2 linked regions of the Danio rerio genome follow. The protein of the gene in region 2 purifies or fractionates together with the protein of the main gene of each other region. This does not show direct contact. Links are inferred from orthologs where the notes say so. Each region holds a gene or a part of one and is shown on either strand. Other genes may lie near its edges.

Region 1 (9,508 bases), about 19 Mb from region 2:
AAATTAAGCTCCGCTCACTTTTAAGGGTGTCACGATCCTCCAAATCCTCGATTCGATTACATTTTCGATTCTAAAGTGACGGTTCGATTCGATTTTCAGTTATGAATAATTAATAACAAATTAATTATTTGTAGCCTACAGTTTAAACTACCTGACCTGCATGGTCTTTGTTTTACCCATAAACAAATCATACAGTAAATGAATAAAGGCAAGTTACACACATAATTACCACCTGTCAATCTCTTTTTTTCTACGGGACTCATGAATAGGCATTGATATGTGTCGTTATAATGGCTGCGGTAAAAAAGGTGCACATGCAACAGGAACCAGCCAACAGTATCTGAGGTGTGCGCTAAAATGACTAAGTACAAGTGAGTGAAAGATTGAAGCAGTCTACTGACCCGCTAACTGCCTGTACCCGCTGTCTTGAGCGCATGGCTGTGTGTGCGTCTGTGTCTGTGTTTGGTCACGTGATGTGCGTTTTCAACGGTAGTGAGGAAAGAGGGCTGCTCAGAAATGCTACACGCCACTGTGGATGTCAAATCGTTGTCGTTCTAAAATGCCATTTAAAAACAAAGACATATTAGTGTAAACACTGCCAGAGTGTGTACTTTTCATGAGCGGATTTGCAACGGGGGCGGGGCAGAGGATCGCGATGCCGGTGTTGTCTATTGGACGAACCCTAATACGTGCGTTGCAGAGCTTGCAAAACTTTTTTTTTTTTTTTTTTGTCGACAACACGAACGTTATCAACATAACTCACTGGAAACCAAAATGCTTCCACACCGGCGACTTCATTGAAAGAGGAGAGGGTTTAAGCTCTGTCGACAGGTCTCCTGCGTCTGCCGTTTAACAAGCTCTTTAACAAGCGTGTTTTTTTCCCGCTTGGCAAGCCAAGCTGACTTGACATGGGGGCGTGGCAGCATCGACGATTCTATTTTATGATTCGATAATCGAAATTGAGCATAAATTTCGATCGATTTCGATTTAAAATCGAGATCGTGACACCCTTACTCACTTTATTGGTTAATAAGCTTACCTCACAAAAATGATGGTCATGCATTTGCTTTTGGAGACAGGTCTGTTTAAATATTATTATATATTCAACACAATTACACAATTTCTAATCAATTAAGGCTTTGGTGGGACAAAAAAAGCTGTTTTCCGGCCACTAGGTTGCTGTTGAAAGTGGTGTTCGTAAGGCTAGCAGGGGGTGCTTGACCTGTGGTCTGTGAGTCCTAATGCCCCAGTAAAAGTAAAGGGGACACTATACTGTCAGTGAGCGCCGTCTTTCGGTTGAGACATAAAACCGAGGTCCTGAGTCTCTGTGGTCATTAAAAATCCCATAGCACTTCTCGTAAAGAGTAGGGTTGTAACCTCGGTGTCCTCCATCGGCCCTCACTGATCATAGCCTCCCAATCCTCCCCATCATGCTCGTGCAGAGACTGTCCAAAGGGCATGTGCAGGATAAAATTTTTGAAGAGCAGGTGGGGGTTGTTGTTGTCGTCGTCGTCGTTGTCGTCGTCGTCGTCGCCGCCACCGCCGGGTGCATACTGAAGAGTGGTTTTGTCACGCGCGTACTGTTAAGCGCGGGGTGGTAGGGAACACGCGTACTCAGGAGCGGTGTTGTCGCGCGCGGGAATCAGTGCCCAGAAAATAAACTTTTTTTTAAATTCAACAAGAAATAGGAAAAAAATCACTTTTTTTTTAAGTCAAGACACGATGATATTGTGTATAGAAGATGCCGCATTGGACGCACAAGACTCACGCATGAACATTTACTCAAAGGAGAAGAACCCCCATAATGCCTTTATTGCAACAAAAAACAAACTGTTAAACATATTCTTGTGGAATGCCCCATTTTTAATGTTCTTAGACAACAATTTTTAACTGGAGAGACTCTAAGTGAAATTTTTAAAAATGTTAATCCTTCTAAAATTGTAGAATTTTTATCAAAAGGAAACCGTAAAAAACTGTTTTAGATTTTTATCATATATATTATCATTTTTATTATTATTTATGTATTTTACCTTGTGTATTATTTATTTCTGTTAATGACTTAATTTTTTTTAGGACTTTTTTTAAGAATATAGAAAAGTGGTATTCATAAAATGTGGTAACCTTGATCTGTTTTTTTTTTGCCATGACATAGCCATAGAAGCTGAAATGGCAATAAAATTAAAACTCTCTCTCTCTCTCTCTCTCTCTCTCTCTCTGAAGGGCGGTGGGGGGGCACTTTTGATCATTTTAGAAGGGCACTTTCTATCCAAGACTAAAAAGGACATGTGCACTGCACAGGTTGAGCCCTATGTGTGCATGTGCCTGCTCCCCATGCACTGAATTGTCTCTATTACTATCTCTCCACTCCATGTATAGCCGGTGTGTGGTGAGCGCACTGGCGTCATTGTCCTGTGGCTGTCGTCGCATCATCCAAGTGGATGCTGCACACTGGTGGTGGTGTGGAGAGAGAGACACCCCCTCATGATTGTTAACCGTAACACTAACCCTAAATCCCTTATGGTGGGCATATCCCTTATTTTTACATCCTAATGTTGACGGGTATGATGGCCTTACAAGATAAAATGCGCTATATAAATACACTTTGCTTAAGTACATCCAAAAATGTAGGAAAAACCCTGGAGTAATATTAACTTATGTTATGTTGCATGCATTTATAAAACTTTTTTTGTTATTACCAAGTATTTAAATGGCACATAAGTAAATAAGTACATATAGCGTTTGGAACAAAAAACAAATATTATAATATTCATATTTTAATCTTATTTTGTTGAAAAACTGCAGGATTTGATCAAAGCAGCTTTTTGGTTAACAAAGCCTTTTAAATTACATGCTTGGGAAGATGGTTGACGTATGTTATATTCCCAAATGCACCTATTCTAAGCAACACAATTTTTTGGCGCATGCAGAAATTAAGTTTCTGTGGAGGAGCATGTATTGTGAAATATATTTATTTAATTAAATTACAGCTTGTGATTTGATAATCGCACCGAGACAGTGTGCAATTTCTGTTTCATTTCGATCAGTCATGCAGCTCTACTGTAATTTGTTTTTCATTTGTTTGTTTTTTTCTGTATTTTCCAGGCCAAGTACGAGTGTGCTTTGCGGCATAATAACATAAAGATAGTAACTCCAGAATGGATTTTGGACTCTGTAAAAGAAAAGAACAGGAAAGATGAGATGCTATATCACCCACGACTCACATTATATGATGCACCGGAAGAGGAGGGCAGTGAGTATGAAAACGAGAGGAGCTCACGATCTGAAGGTAGCTATAGTGACAGACGCTCGCCTCACAGCCGACGCTCCAGCCCTACATCATCCCGAGACGCATCCCCAGCAGGCAGGCGCTCACCCTCAACCAAACATGAACGCAAATCAGAGTTGATGTTCGATGACTCTGATGACTCATCCCCAGAGAAGGAGGATCGCAATCTCAATTGGACCCCAGCTGAGGTGCTTCCGCCTGGTCCGGCTAAACGTCGACTACAGCCTGGCAAAGAAACCGGTTTGATCAATCTGTGTGCCAATGTCCCACCTGTACCAGGAAGCTTTGGGCCACCTGATGCACGAATGGTCGGTGCAGGTGCAGGTGGAGGTGTGCCTATGGGGGTGGAAAGATTAGAGGTCATGAGTGAATGGAATTCAGCCGCCAGGACGCTAAGAAACATCACTAACAACACTGATACCCAACAGCCCTCTCGACCCTCCAATGTGGCACATGTAAGGATTAGAATTTTCAATGTAACTTTTATATCTAAAGGAAGAATTTCTCCTATATTTATAAGGCCTAATTAGGGCTGGGTGATTTAAATTAATTGAACTATTAATTAATTTTTTGACCTCATAGTTTACTGACAGATTTTGTACAGTAAATAGGCTCACATATTACAAGTGAGAGATTTTTGATCTTTACTATCTATGATTATTTACTTTAATGTTGAACAACTGGAATTAAAACACACATTGCCTTAAACAGTCACTTTCTTGAAAAACAAAGTTGAAAAAAACTTTTGGAAACAAATTTAATCTTTAGGTTTTTCATATTAAAAGTAGAGAATAAGTAGTTTCTCTTTTAAATAAAGTACCTCTTGTATATCCTGTAAATAATATTTTAAACCATGCATTTTTTGAGTCTTCAGTAAACAAATATTTTAATATAAATAATAATCTTAATGTAATGGACAATATGCAGTCTCAAGGCTTTTCTGGCGCAGCTTACAATCATCATCAAAGTAGTGCAAAAGTAGTGCAACATCCGTGCATTCAACGCAGAAGTATAAATCAGCCTTAAGCGAGTGAGCTTACATGACTCCACATGCAGCACAGAAAATAATTGAAAAAATTGACATGGAAAAATTTGATCGATTACAGATTCTGAATGACTATTTCAGTTATTTTCGATTAATCACCCAGCCCTAGACCTAATGCTTTGACCATATTTTGCACAGTGTATCAATCTAGATATGTCCTGTGGACGCGAGAAGGTGTGCAGCTTCAACGGAATACTCTAAATTATTATTAAAGTATTTTTGTTCTGTTGAACACAAAAGAAGATATGTCAAAGGATGTTGGAAACCTGAAACCCTAGACTTTCATAGTATTTGTTTTTTCTACAATGTATATAAATGATTGCAGGTTTCCAACATTAATCAAAATATCTTATTTTTTGTTTAACTGAACAAAAATATATATAATTAGTTTAAAAAATCGAGGTTGAGTAAATGGTGACAATTTGCATTCATTCAGGCTGCAATTTGTCAATTCTGTCTAAAAGCACACAGTGAAACTTCATGCGTATAAAAAAAAAACTAATAAAGGATCAAAATTAAATATCTTTGTAGTATTTTTATAATTTAATTTGTACAAAAGGCAGAAGTGTCTTTATGTATTTTTAAAGTTTAATGAAACATATGCATTTTTCTACAGATCATCCAGAGTTTTTCCGCATCCTCTAAAGGTGTAGTGGATCATATGGGAAATCAGGGCCAGTCTGGTATTCCCAACCAGCTTCTGTTAAAAGCCCAACAGCAGCTTCCTCCTGAAGCACAGCAGCAGTTACTGCAACAACAGCAGCAGCAACAGTCACATCAGCTACAACAGCAACAGCAGCAGCATCAGATGGCACAACAACATCCCATGATGCTGCCACAGGTCATGCAGATGCACCACCATCAACAACAACAACAGCATCAGCCGCCGCCACAGCAACAACAGCAGCAGCAAAACCAACAAGGCTTTCCTCAAATGCCTCCACAATCGCATCAGTTCTTACAGCAACAGATGCATCAGCAGATGTATTCCCAACATCAACAGCAGCAGCAGCAGCAGCAACAACAGCAGCAGCAACAACATGCATTCCCACAACAAATGCGACCCCAACAGCTTCCGAGGCTGCCCTTGCAGCATCAGCAGCAACATGTGCTGCAACAACAGTTACAGTTACAGCAGCAGCACAGACTTCAGTTGCAGTTGCAACAACAACAACAACAGCAGCAGCAACAACAACAACAGCAGCAGCAGCAGCAGCAGCAACAACAACAACAAAAACAACAACAGCAGCAGCAGCAAAACCAGCAGCAGATGCACCAACAGCATTTGCAGCAGCAACAGCATTTCCTACAACAACAACTCCAACAGCAGCACATGCAACAGCTGCAACAACAGCAGCAAATGCAGCAGCAACAGCAACAACATCTGCAGAACCAGCAGCCTCTGCAACATCAGAACCAGCAGGTTAATCCACATCAGACACAGACTATGCTTCAACCTCCAATCACATCTGCACAGCTCTTTGGACACGAGCCTGGCCATGACAGTAAGTGCAATTACTTTACGATATCACCCAGCTGCACATTGTTTTGTGAGCACAATACATATAGTCTGTCTTTGTGAGAAAGTAAAAACGGAAACAGTGACTTCTCCTGAATAGAGTTGTATTAATTTATAATATTCTACGGTGACATTTATCATTACCTTTTCAGTACCTGAAGAGGGATTCCTGGTTGGCTGTATTTTTGCCATTGCTGACTATCCAGAACAAATGGCTGATAAACAGTTACTGGCCACATGGAAAAGGGTAAGCGACTCCGCCACACTCCAACAAATACTAAATTATTCCTTTAGAAAATTGATTTATTTTAATCCATATTTTAAGCTAGCATGTTATGTTTTAGATTAAATTCAACATCAGGAAAGACAGTATTTTTTTGTAGTTTTTTTTATTATTGGCAATTCTCAATCAGAGTTATTGCAAGTGAGAGAAATAAAAACCATAATACAATAATTTTACAATATTAAAGAAAAAATTGACATGGTAATTCAAGGAATTCCTTACTCTCTTATCTAGGGTTGGGCAATGTCAACTAATTTGGCATCATACGATGTCTAATGTGAAACATAGCGATGGACGACGGATGGCATCATCGTCGTAGGCGGCGGTGAAGTTTTTTTTTTATGCATAATTAATAAATTTATAACAAATTAGTTCTTTGTAGCCCACCGTTTTAACTACCTGACCCTTATGGTCTTTGTTTTAACCATAACCAAACCATAAATAAATAAACACAAGTTATACACAAATTACCACCTGTCAATCACTTGTTCTGCAGGACTCTTGCATAAATAGTTCTGCGGAAAATTACTAAGTACAAGCATAAAAGCGAAAGACTGAAGCGGTGTACTGATGCTGTGACGCGTTACCAGATAGATTCAAAAGAGTCGTTAGATAGAGACTAGATTAATTCAATATCACATTTAAAACTACAGTAAGCCTCGATCCAGTGGTACATCCTTGATAAACTGTCTGACGTGTACTGCTCTCTGGGGTTTTGTGCTTGAAGCACCCGCTGACTGCTGGAGCTCAGACCCTCGCATACTCTGCAGCATGACAGTGTGTGTGGGGTCACGTGATGTGCGTTTTCAGCAGAATAGTGTGAAAGGAGGGTTTTTTTAGAAATTCTAGGTGAAACGCTAATGTGGATGTGGATCGTTTACATTCTAAAATGCCATTTTAAAACTAAGACATATTAGTGTAAACGGGGCTGTGCGTATTTTTTAGCAAGTGGGTTGCTGCTTTGACGGGGGTAGGGCGGAGGATCGTGATGCCGGCTAAACATTGTGATGTCTATTTGCCATCGGCGATTGACCATGCATCGTCTATTGACCCAACCCTACTCTGAAGCATATTCAGAGGAAAATATAGAAAGTAAATGACAACAACAAAAAACAAACAAAACAGTAACAAACAAAAGATTAATAAAAAAAAAAAAATAAACCATTACTGTTAAACACCAGATATCACACAATTTATTTTTCGAACACGCTCTTTGATAAGTTTTTATCATTCAAAAGCAAGAAAAAAGGCAGATACTGACAGGGTTAGATATGTAGGGCAGGTCACAAAAAAGCTATTTTTTAAAATACCAAACTGTATAGAAATCCGTTTTGCCGTTAATTGTATATCTAATTTTTCTATTTGAATAAACTGCCACAGGTCATACATCCAACAAATGTAGCTTGGTGGATAATGTTTTTTCCAGTTAAGTAATACAATTCTATTAGCAAATATTAAGCAAAAGGCTAATACACTTGACTGCAAAGATGACATTTGTAGGATGAAGTCCAAACAGTGCCACTGACGGACATGGTTCAATTTTTAGAAGAAAATATCAGAGATTGGTTTAAAAATTGATTTCCGAAAATTTTTTTATCTAAGAATAAAGCCATGATAAAGGGTGGCTGGAGCTTGTCAGCATCTGTCACAAATAGGATCAATTTCTGGGTTTATTTTAGAAGATAGTATTTTTTAAAAAGTTGTTCAATGTAAGCAATGTGCAACAAACTTGAGGAATTATGTTGAATGAATTATGGAAATTTTCAAGATTCATGGAAATAAATTATTTCATTAATAGTTCATTATAATTATAAATTGTAATTAATTTTTTTTATATATACATTCCTTCAAGCATAATGCAAATAAAACATTATTTTACACAGATAATTCAGCTAAATGGAGGGACTGTAGACTCTGCTCTCAACCGCTGCACTCATTTACTTTGTGAGAGTCAAGTCAGCAACACCTATCTCCAGGTAAGCAAGACAGCTTGCTCTGAAAAGAAACATGCATGATACATTTTGCCTACCATCTGCTGTGCTGCATAGTGATATAAATGCATCTTTAATGTTATGTGTCAAGGCTTATCTTAATCATTACTTTTATAATGATCTATTATAAAATGTTTTCCTGTGCCAGGCGCTGAGGGAGGGAAAGCGTTGTGTGACGGCTCACTGGCTCAACACTGTCCTCAAGAAGAAGAAGATGGTCCCCCCTCACAGGACCCTTCATCTTCCCTTCAGCTTTCCTCCAGGGGCCAAACCGTGTGCACAGCATGTAAGAACCATCCCTTTCTATTCATATTCTTTATTCACGAGTTTAACGTCATTATAATAGGGCTGGGAAAAAAAAACTTTGCATTAAAATTTCATTCTTTTAAGCAATCCTGTTTAAATCTCATTTTGTCTTTTTTTTATTGCACCTCAGATTATTTCTGTGACTGGATTTGTGGACAGTGACCGTGATGATTTGAAGCTCATGGCGTATCTAGCAGGAGCACGATACACAGGCTATCTGTGTCGAAGCAACACTGTCCTTATCTGTAAAGAGTAAGAAGCAATGCAGTCTCATGTTTATGCCTTCTATTTACATTTATGTAGTATATTCACAATAAAGTTGATCTCACCCAGGGTGATTTTTATATCTGTCTGGAAGCTTAATCTGTTTTTAATTATTGCTAATATAACCCCCCCCTCCCCTCAATGCCATTAGACCAAGCGGGCTGAAATACGAGAAGGCGAAGGAGTGGAGGATCCCATGTGTGAATGCACAGTGGCTGTGTGACATCCTACTAGGAAACTTCGAAGCTCTCCGGCAAATCCAGCACAGCAAATACACTCAGTTTAATTTGCCTGACCCGCTGGCACCAAATCATCATCTTGTGCACAACCTTCTGAGTAAGCTTTATTCCAAATTGCAACAGTATAATTAATATTGCTGCAGATTTATTGGGATGCTACAGCTGGCATATTTCCAAGCTGTTGAGGAGGTAGAACATAACATTCTCTCGTTTTTGATGTCAGGTGCTTGGCGTATTCCTGTGAAGATCTCACCGGAGGCATTGGCGGTGAGTGGTTCTCTCATGGACACACTCTGATTGCTCCCTCTCTCTTGTTTAAGATGCTGGAGTCTTGCAGTCAAGTCCTCAGTGGACACGCATGTAACAGCATGTCTGGGCAGAGGTGTATGTGTAGAGACTCGCAGTCACTTTTTATTATTTTTTTTCCTCTTCACACAGAGTTTACGTCTTCAGCTAAAACAGAAACAGGCTGACGTCAGTGTGCAGCCGCCCAGCAAGAGACCCAAGTGAGTTCAAATAGTGCAAATGGTGAAGGGTTATTTTTGGAACTGTAGATATCTGTGCAATTTTCTCTC
Region 2 (8,745 bases):
AATTGTTGTATCATGAAATTTCATTTCATTTTTAGAATATTTTTTAAACATCAAATATTATTATTATTATTATTATTATTATTAAGCAATTATAACTTAAATTCTTCAAATGTATTTTTTTAATAAAAAAAGAGGCTTCAACAAATTGGCAGAAGAAAAAAGAAGTTGTGCATCAATCATGTAAAATATTTTATTTTTTATTTTTTTGTAAATTCAGTTCCTCAAATACCAAACCCTATATCATTCTGTGTACTCAAAAAAGTTTCAGTTTCCAAAACAATTTAGACTACTATACAGAGAGAAAAAAAATTAAACAAAAGAACAACACTAGGAAAATGATGTATGTTACAAGACAAGGAAAATATCCATAAAACAATTTTGTCACAGCTGTTCATTTGAAGAAAAAAAATATATACAACTGACTCTTTTTTTTTTTTTTTTTTTTTGAAAAAATTCATGCCCATTACAATACAAAGTCTAAACTGTCCATTTTCAACGTGAAATTGTGCACACAGAAACTTCCAAATTGAAATAACAAGGCATGTGAAATGTTAAAAACATTTTTGGCTACAAAACGAATAGCGCTTCACTTCAATCAATAAAACTAATACAAGCATCTATTTTTCATATGTACATATTTGAGATTTTTCAGAGAGTTAACCTGGCCCTTCGTTCAGCGATTCCTGCTCATAACACCATCCAAAAATGACTTCTTATTCTCGTTCATTTATAAAATCCATACGACGGTCTGTATTTATATATATATATTTTAAAAAAAGAGCTACTTGTGCATGTTGCTTGTGATTTCATAATCGGTGTGTGAGGTTTAAAGTTCATTTCACAGTTATCTCTACATCTACAATCCCACCTGATTTACTAGAAAGTCACTTGCTTTGAACTCTGCTCTGCTTTGAACAGCTGCTATCAGCAGCAGAGCATAAAATGGAATGAAATTAAAACGAAAACCAACAATATGGTCAGCACTAACGTAAAAACCACAAAACCACTACAAATACCACATCCTAAACAGAGAAAATACTTTTCTTGTGAAGTCACCTTTGCAATAATTACACGTGGTATCATGATGTGCCAGTTAAATTATTTCCAATGGGGAAAAGAAAGAAGAGCAAAAGCAAAGCAAAACAAAACAAGCACGTCTAAAATATCTGAACATCAAGATGAATAAGGTAGTGAATGAAGGTAGTATTTGGTCAATCATTCAGATATTTCTCTATATTTACACTGTATTTACAGAGTCTGTAACAGAATCTCAAACTGCGTCAGGCATCCTTTTTATCAGCATCAAACTGCTATTAAAATAGGCCCATTCATTCACTCGCACAGTAATAAATACATAACATCTTTATTTTCTTACACTAAACAATGAGAGATATCTAGGATAAAACTGACTCATGGAATCAAGTATTTTTTCATTTATTTTTGTGACTTTGTTTTCCTTTTTTTCTTTTTGATTTTTTGTTTTTTTAGTGCAACATGTTTTCCCTTTGCGGAAGTCAATTCCGTACATTCTCCATTCAGTGATGTTCTACATTGAGTTCTACGATACAGTCTCTACAGATCACGCCGTACAAATGGGTTACCCTTACCATCGACCTATAAGGCGATACCCAACACAATACTTTCGTTCATTTCTCATCCTCTTTTGCTGGTGAAGTCTGCCCCATGTGACACACACATTCAATCTGACACACACATACACACACACAGACTCGTGGCACATGCAAAAAACTGAACCTTTTCCTTTCAAGTCAAGAAAATGATACGAATGGCTCTCACACAATGCTGTACTCTTGCGTTGTGTTTTCCTCTTAGTTTTGCACATTTAGAAATGTTTCCTAATGTCTCCCCTGGTGAACTGCCAGCTCATAGTTGGAGTTTTTCAGTTGATCCACTTGCGACATTTGGCTGCTCCACAGTGACATGGGATCTTGCTCTGATCGTTAACAGGAGTGAGCTTGTAATCATAGCAGAGCTGCAACAAAACCATTCAAAAGTGGGTTAAATCTCAGATCATAAGGTTTACAGACAGAATACTTTGCTGTTTTTCAATATTTCATCACATAATAAAGAAGAAAATCAAGGCCAGTTCGCAAGGACATTATGGGAATAGTTTCAAAAAGATCTTTCTGAATGTAGAAGAAAAAAAAGTCACTGGATCACTATCCACATTTTTTTTTCCTGCTGATGAAAAATCTGAATGAGAGTTCATCCTGAGGAAGATACAAACAAACAAACAAAACAAAACAAACAAACAAACAAACTACTGCAAAACCAATAGGACATTATTGTGAATGCTTATATAGTTACTCTTTATCATCCTTAATGCAAACAAGCCTCAACAGAGATATGTGTGCGTAACAAGCATTTCACATACACTGTTTGTTTTATTTGTTTTATTTATCTGTTTAGGAGTTGTTAATAATACATTTTTCCCTATCATTTCTTTGTACTCTTATATTTTGAACCCTATCATACACCTGGCGCAATAAGGCACAAGACGTGTATGACGTGATTTGTTGCTATTTTTAGTCCAGCGCAACCCTAATTGTCACATCTTTCATTCATTTGCACCACTTTATGGAATCATGATTGAAGGAGTGTTAAGCCACATTGTTGGTGTGTTGCTATTTTGAGACAAACTGAAAAAGGGAATGGGAGACGAGACTCTGATTGGTTTAATGCACTTCATGCTCAAAACACACTCTTAGCTTATTAAGAAAATAACCACAACCCTGTTAAAACATGCGCCGTATCACAAACCGTATTTTTCCGTCCTCAAAATAGCATAAATAGTGGATTCTGACACACCCTTAATGCTTAAGCGGCATGCACTTTAAGCCTGGTTTATACTTCTGCGTCAAGTGATCGGCGTGACCCACGACGCATGCAATGCGCGTAGCTGTGCAGTCATACTTCTGCGCGCTATTTCTGTTGCTCTGCGATAACACTTCCGAAATGCTAGTTGGCAGTAAGGTGTTAATGTTCCTCTGTGTTGAGGTTCTTCGCTGATGTTTTGTTTTTTTCTGAACACTTCCTTAATGTACAAGTGGTTCAAACTCTATCATTTTGATGCAGAAACCGGCGGATGTGCAACAACTTTAACATGAGGCACACACAAAACAAAACTTTCCATCCAGAGCTACTTTATGGGAATCCACACTTGTACACAATAGCTCCACCGGGCTCGCGCGGCTCTCGGTCCTGCCCACACTCGCCAGCGTTAACCAAGCCGACCAATCACAGAGCTTGTGCTACATGTCGTTGCGACGTGTAGTTACATTTTTTGAGAGGTGCGCATCAGCACCTGCACCAATGATGGCCACGACGAGGGCTATGCGTCCATGCATAGGCCACGTCGTAGCCTACGCATACGCTTGACGCAGAAGTATAAATCAGCCTTTAGACTTAACTCCTAGACTGTTAAAATTACGCCTTATGTTTTGTTATTCAAATTTATTTAACAAAAAAAAAGCCAAGATAGAAAGTAGTAGGACAGCCTATGATTCTGTAGATCCACTTTAGAAGTAATTACCTAAAGTCATGAGTTTTTGCACAGCTCTTGCCACAGCATTACAATTAGTATGAGGTCTGGACTTTGACTGGACTACTGCAACAGCTTGAGGTTTATTTTCAGCTGTTCTGTGGTAAATTTGCTGTGTGCTTGGGATCATTGTCAAATCTCGTTTCATCTCTTTAATGCTATTTTGATACCAGGTACTATGATACATTGCAGTTAGTTTGATCATAGGTGGATGATGTTACATGTTTAAACAAAGTCTAAAAAGTTAGAAGCTTTTCAACTGTTGACCCCTTTCAGAAGTAGTCAACCACACATTTATTAATATTGCTTTCAGAGTGTAACTGCTCATGTGGTTGATGTGTTTGAGTTGCTAAAGACCACCTATTGACCTAACATGAGATTGTAAGTCAGGTAACAATAAACAAAAACTAAATGCAAAACTAATGTACAACTAAATGTCCTATACAATCCGATATCAATATATGAATATATAAGAAAACAAACAGAAAAAGTATCGGTTGTGTTTGTGGCATTAGCAAATGAAGTTATTTTATTTAGTGTGCATGACAATAAATGACAGATAAAATCTCACCTCTTCTCCTCTCTCAATCCTGCAGGCAGCACTGATGATGATCTTGTAGCCCCGCTCAAACGTCACAACCTCAGCCACACAATTTGGTGAGCATGAATGATTTATGTACCTAAAAAATAAATGAAATAAATCTTAAATCATTATTAAAGCGGTTGTAGTTATTCAGTGAGCATAACTGTACTTCAAACTGCACAGAAAAGACTCCTGTAGCAGAAACAGTGCAAGAAAATGTATATACTAGTTTAACTTATTACACTATTCAACACTATTCTTATTTTTTTATTTAATATGAATTTTTTACTTTACTAAGGATGCATTAAACTGTTTACAAATGACAGAAAATACATTTTCAATGTTACAAAATATTTCACATAGCTGTATTCTTTTTTACAAATAAACCTTCTATTCAGCGAAAAATAATAAAATAAAAATATCATGATTTTATCTACTGATTTCAATATAATTAGAAACATTTCTACATTTTAGAATGATTTCAGAAGGATCACTTGATGCTGAGAGTTGGAGTAATGATGACAAAAAATAAGCTTTGAATCAAATGAAGGAATTTAATTCCAAATATATTAAATATAAAATTATTGGCACAGCATTGTGGATGATGGATATATGGTTATTCAGTGCTCACTCAGCATAAATGAGTACACTCCTCACAAATCTCTTTTTTAAATGATTATTTTCTATAGAATACACAAAAATATTTGTGCAAATACATTAGATTAGTCGCCCAAACTAGAAGTAATTTAAAAAGATTCTTTCTACTTCTCACTATTTTTAGTGAAACTTGTATAATGTATACATTCATTTCACACAGAGTAAAATATTCAAGTGTTTATTTATTTTAATTTTGATGATTTTGATGACAACTAACAAAAACCCCAAATTTAATGTCTCAGAAAATTTGAATATTGCTTAGGACCAAGACAAAGAAAGGTTTTTTTTTTTTTTTAAATCTTGGCCAACTGAAAAGTAATGAACATGAAAAGTATGACCATTGCCTGAATTACTGCAGCAATGCACCGTGACATACGGCTAATCAGTCTGTGGCACTGCTTGGATTATATGAGAGCCCATGATGCTCTGATAGTGGCCTTCAGCTCTTCTGCATTGTTGGGTCTGGCATACAGCATCTTCCCCTTTACAATAGTCCACAGATTTCCTATGTGGTTAAGGTCAGGTGAGTTTGGCTAATTATGAACAGGGATACCATGATCCCCAAATCCCAGGTACTGGTAGCTTTAGCACTGTGTGCAGGTGCCAAGTCCTGTTAGAAAATGAAATCTGCATCTTCATTAAGTTGGTCAGCAGCAGGACGCATGAGGTGCTCTTAAACGTCCTGGTGTAGAGCTGCATTAACCATGGACCTCACCAAACACAGTGGAGTAACACCAGCAGGTGATATGGCACACCAAACCATCACTGATTGTGGAAACTTTAGTCTGAACCTCAAGCAACATGGATTGTGTGCCTTTCCTCTATTCCTCCAAAGTCTGGGACCCTGATTTTAAAAGGAAATGGAAATTTTACTTTCATAAATGAGCATAATTTTGGAGCACTCGGCAGCAGTCCAGTCTTTAGTTTAGGAATCTTTTGATGCCATCTGTTCAAGAGTAGCCTGACACAAGGAATGTGACTGCTAAAACCCATGTCTTGCATACGTCTGTGCGTAGTGGTTCTTGTATCAGTGACTCCAGCTTCAGTCCACTCTTTACCCCACATTTTTGAATGGGTTTTGTTTCACAATTCTCTCCAGGGTGCAGTTATCCCTATTGCTTGTACACTTTTTTTCAACCAAATATTTGTCTTCTCTTCGCCTCTCTATTAAGGTTGGACACAGAGCTGTGTGAATAGCCAGCCTCTTTTGTAATGACCTTTTGTGTCTTGCCCTCCTTGTGCAAGGTGTCACCACTTAGGGCCTTTGCAGGTGTTTTTAGCTAATTAACTGATTAGGGTGTGGTACCATGTGTCTTTTCCTTTGAAACAGTGACTGGTCTCTTTTGAAAGATTACCTAATGTATTCTTGGGAACTTGTTTTCGGGAATTTGTTTTCCATAACAAACTTGTGAAGTCAGAACTTACAAGGAAAGAATGCAAGACTGAACTTTGTGTACTTAAATATTGAGAAAACCCCAATTAGATGCAGCGAATTTCTGCAGCCATGCCTCCATTTCCAGATGTCTCTGTTTTCCCCCATCCACACTGACACGGAGCAGCAGCATTTTAAAACAAAAATGGCCTCTTCAGCATTTTCAAAAAGCATTTTCAGGGCTCCTAAACTCCAGGTTAGTGTGGTCGGAAAGTGTATTTGGATTGAGGTGAAAAGTGATTGTGTGGCCAGGAGTTGGGTCAGGAAATTTTTGCTATGTGGGTAATGTACATATTACAATGCTCAAATGACAGGTCAAGATAATATCTAACCTTGCAGGGCTTCCAGAGTTGGTTGCATCAATAACTCGCTCACTGTCAATGCAGAACATGTACGCTGGCCGGTTCTGTAGGAAACAATCCACACAGACTTAGAAGAACATATTAAGACAGCATTCCACATCATTCTCTCATTGGTTGAGCATGCTTTACCTTAGCCTTGTACAGCAGCTCTCTCCTCATGGCCACCTCAGTGCGTAGAATATCCCCCATGTATTCAATCACCATGGTCTGCTTCTCAATGGCACGTGCTGCAAACAGGCCAAGACCCTGCAGACACGAGATGCATTAGACTTGCATCAACACCCAAGACTAATGCTCATGCACAAACAGGTTACATTCTATACACTCAAATCATTTTCATATACAAAATTAAAAGAGCTATACCTGTAGCTTACTTTCATCTACAAACCCTCAAACATGGGTAAAAAGTTACACACTCAAATTTAATAGCCATTCCATTAAGGTTTACTTTAGGCCACGTTATTTTTCAGCAAAGTTCTTTGGTTCAGTTGAAAAAGTAGATTTAAATACAATTTAAACAGCAATGATAATACTGTGATTAATGATCTGAGTTGATTTGATGAAAACCAGTCATGATAAGTGTCAGTTAGCACAGTATTATTGTTGCTCTTTTATTTAAAACTTATTTCTGCAAACCTTTGCATTGTAGTGTGTAGCGTCAAAAACATTATCAGTGAATCAGTCACATTAGGAGCACCAGGAGTTAGGGGGCAATCAGTGACATTTCGAGCTAAATATATGATATTCTGTAATGACTTTTTGTGATGATGTAATGATGTGATGTTGGTAATCCTTGAAAGTGTCTCTGAATTGTGTATTCTGATGCACTTAAATTGTGTTATTCTGTCTACGTGGTTTCCATTTATGTAGAGGGGGCATGGACTTTCTCATTCCTGCTAAAGTCAATAATGACCTCCTTGGTGCTATGTAAATGAAGATTAAATGAAGGTGCACCGATCTGTTAAATGCTACACCTCTTCTCTAATTGCTTTCTCATCCACTCCTGAAATCCTAAAATAAGTCCAGCCACTGTTTTGTTGTGGGGTGGGCTGGAACACAAGTGTAGGTATAAAGCAGGGTTGCTCAATTCTGTTTCTGGTGATCCACCCTTTTTAAGAGTTCAGCTCCAACCCTGATCCAAAACAGCTAAACCAACTAAGTGGGATCTAAAGGAGGAATACTTGATAATTAAAGACAGGTGTGTTTGATCAAGGTTGCAGCTGAACTCTGCAGGATGGTAGATCTCAAAGGACAGAATTGGGCAGCCCTGGTATAGAGTATACATTAGTGAACTCAGCACATAACCCTGAGGTGTTCCAGGTCTGAGTGATACATAAGAAACAGATGTCAGTTTGTGATGAATTGAATAAAAGTTGCCCTTCGGATGGGGAACTTCAATGCTATAGTGGATTTAATCCACTTATGGCAATTTCGTTCAGAAAGCCAATAGTCTGAAAGTGTATGTAAACGGGCTAATGAAATGTCAATAAATTGGCAGCGTTAGCTTGCGCACCTGATGCAATCAATTTAACAATTAAAGTACAGTGAAAGCAAGGTGAGGCATCCTTTTTGCTTCAGAGACTTCTACAGCCTTCTAAGAGAGTCGATGAGGGTTCTTCCTGATGATATCCAGCGATTTCAAGCAAACGAGAGCTGTGTTCCGGTCCAGAGTGTGTACACGCAGCAGCAGACGGTCGAGCTCTTGCCTGGTGTTCTTTGGGTCCGTTCCTCCAGAGCGGTGCGTATTTTTGCAAATTTCCTAAAAGAGCAACACAGTCGTGTAGCACGTCCTTTTCAAGATGGCGCTCCGACTGCGTTTCTGGATGCGGTGTTTTCCTGTCCCCGGATGATAGGCATGAGCACTGCGTTGCATGTCTGGGGGTCCAGCATGTTAATGCGGTGCTTGCGGGCAAATCGTGTCATCATTGCGATGGCATGTCTGTTGCACTGCTAAGATCGCGGCAAGCTCTTGCAAAAGGGCGAACCACCCCAGCTGTCCTCTGCACTGCAGCGGGCACTCGGGCAGGTCTAAGGGGTTCCAGTGGGAAATTATCCATCACCTCTGGGTCCGTAGACCTCTCGCTCATCCAAACGCTCCATCCAAGCTTCGAGCTGGGGGAAGCGATCCGTCTAACCAAATGGTAGCCCT

What was found.
Region 1: the proteins of kmt2cb (region 2) and paxip1 purify together in Homo sapiens (affinity purification with mass spectrometry; 4 studies listed by BioGRID and IntAct, with this or other methods). This does not show direct contact. The link is inferred for Danio rerio from reciprocal best matches to the Homo sapiens genes KMT2C and PAXIP1.

The regions. Positions count from the first base shown.
Region 1 is NC_133177.1:32,868,613-32,878,120, reverse strand, and holds part of paxip1 (PAX-interacting protein 1), read left to right. Parts: intron 1-3,102; coding exon 3,103-3,741; intron 3,742-4,947; coding exon 4,948-5,836; intron 5,837-6,002; coding exon 6,003-6,097; intron 6,098-8,016; coding exon 8,017-8,109; intron 8,110-8,272; coding exon 8,273-8,410; intron 8,411-8,560; coding exon 8,561-8,682; intron 8,683-8,845; coding exon 8,846-9,030; intron 9,031-9,156; coding exon 9,157-9,200; intron 9,201-9,371; coding exon 9,372-9,439; intron 9,440-9,508.
Region 2 is NC_133177.1:13,460,417-13,469,161, reverse strand, and holds the end of kmt2cb (histone-lysine N-methyltransferase 2C), read right to left. Parts: intron 6,843-8,745; coding exon 6,726-6,842; intron 6,641-6,725; coding exon 6,567-6,640; intron 4,243-6,566; coding exon 4,134-4,242; intron 1,994-4,133; coding exon 1,901-1,993; 3' UTR 177-1,900; downstream 1-176. UniProt on the Homo sapiens protein: Histone methyltransferase that catalyzes methyl group transfer from S-adenosyl-L-methionine to the epsilon-amino group of 'Lys-4' of histone H3 (H3K4).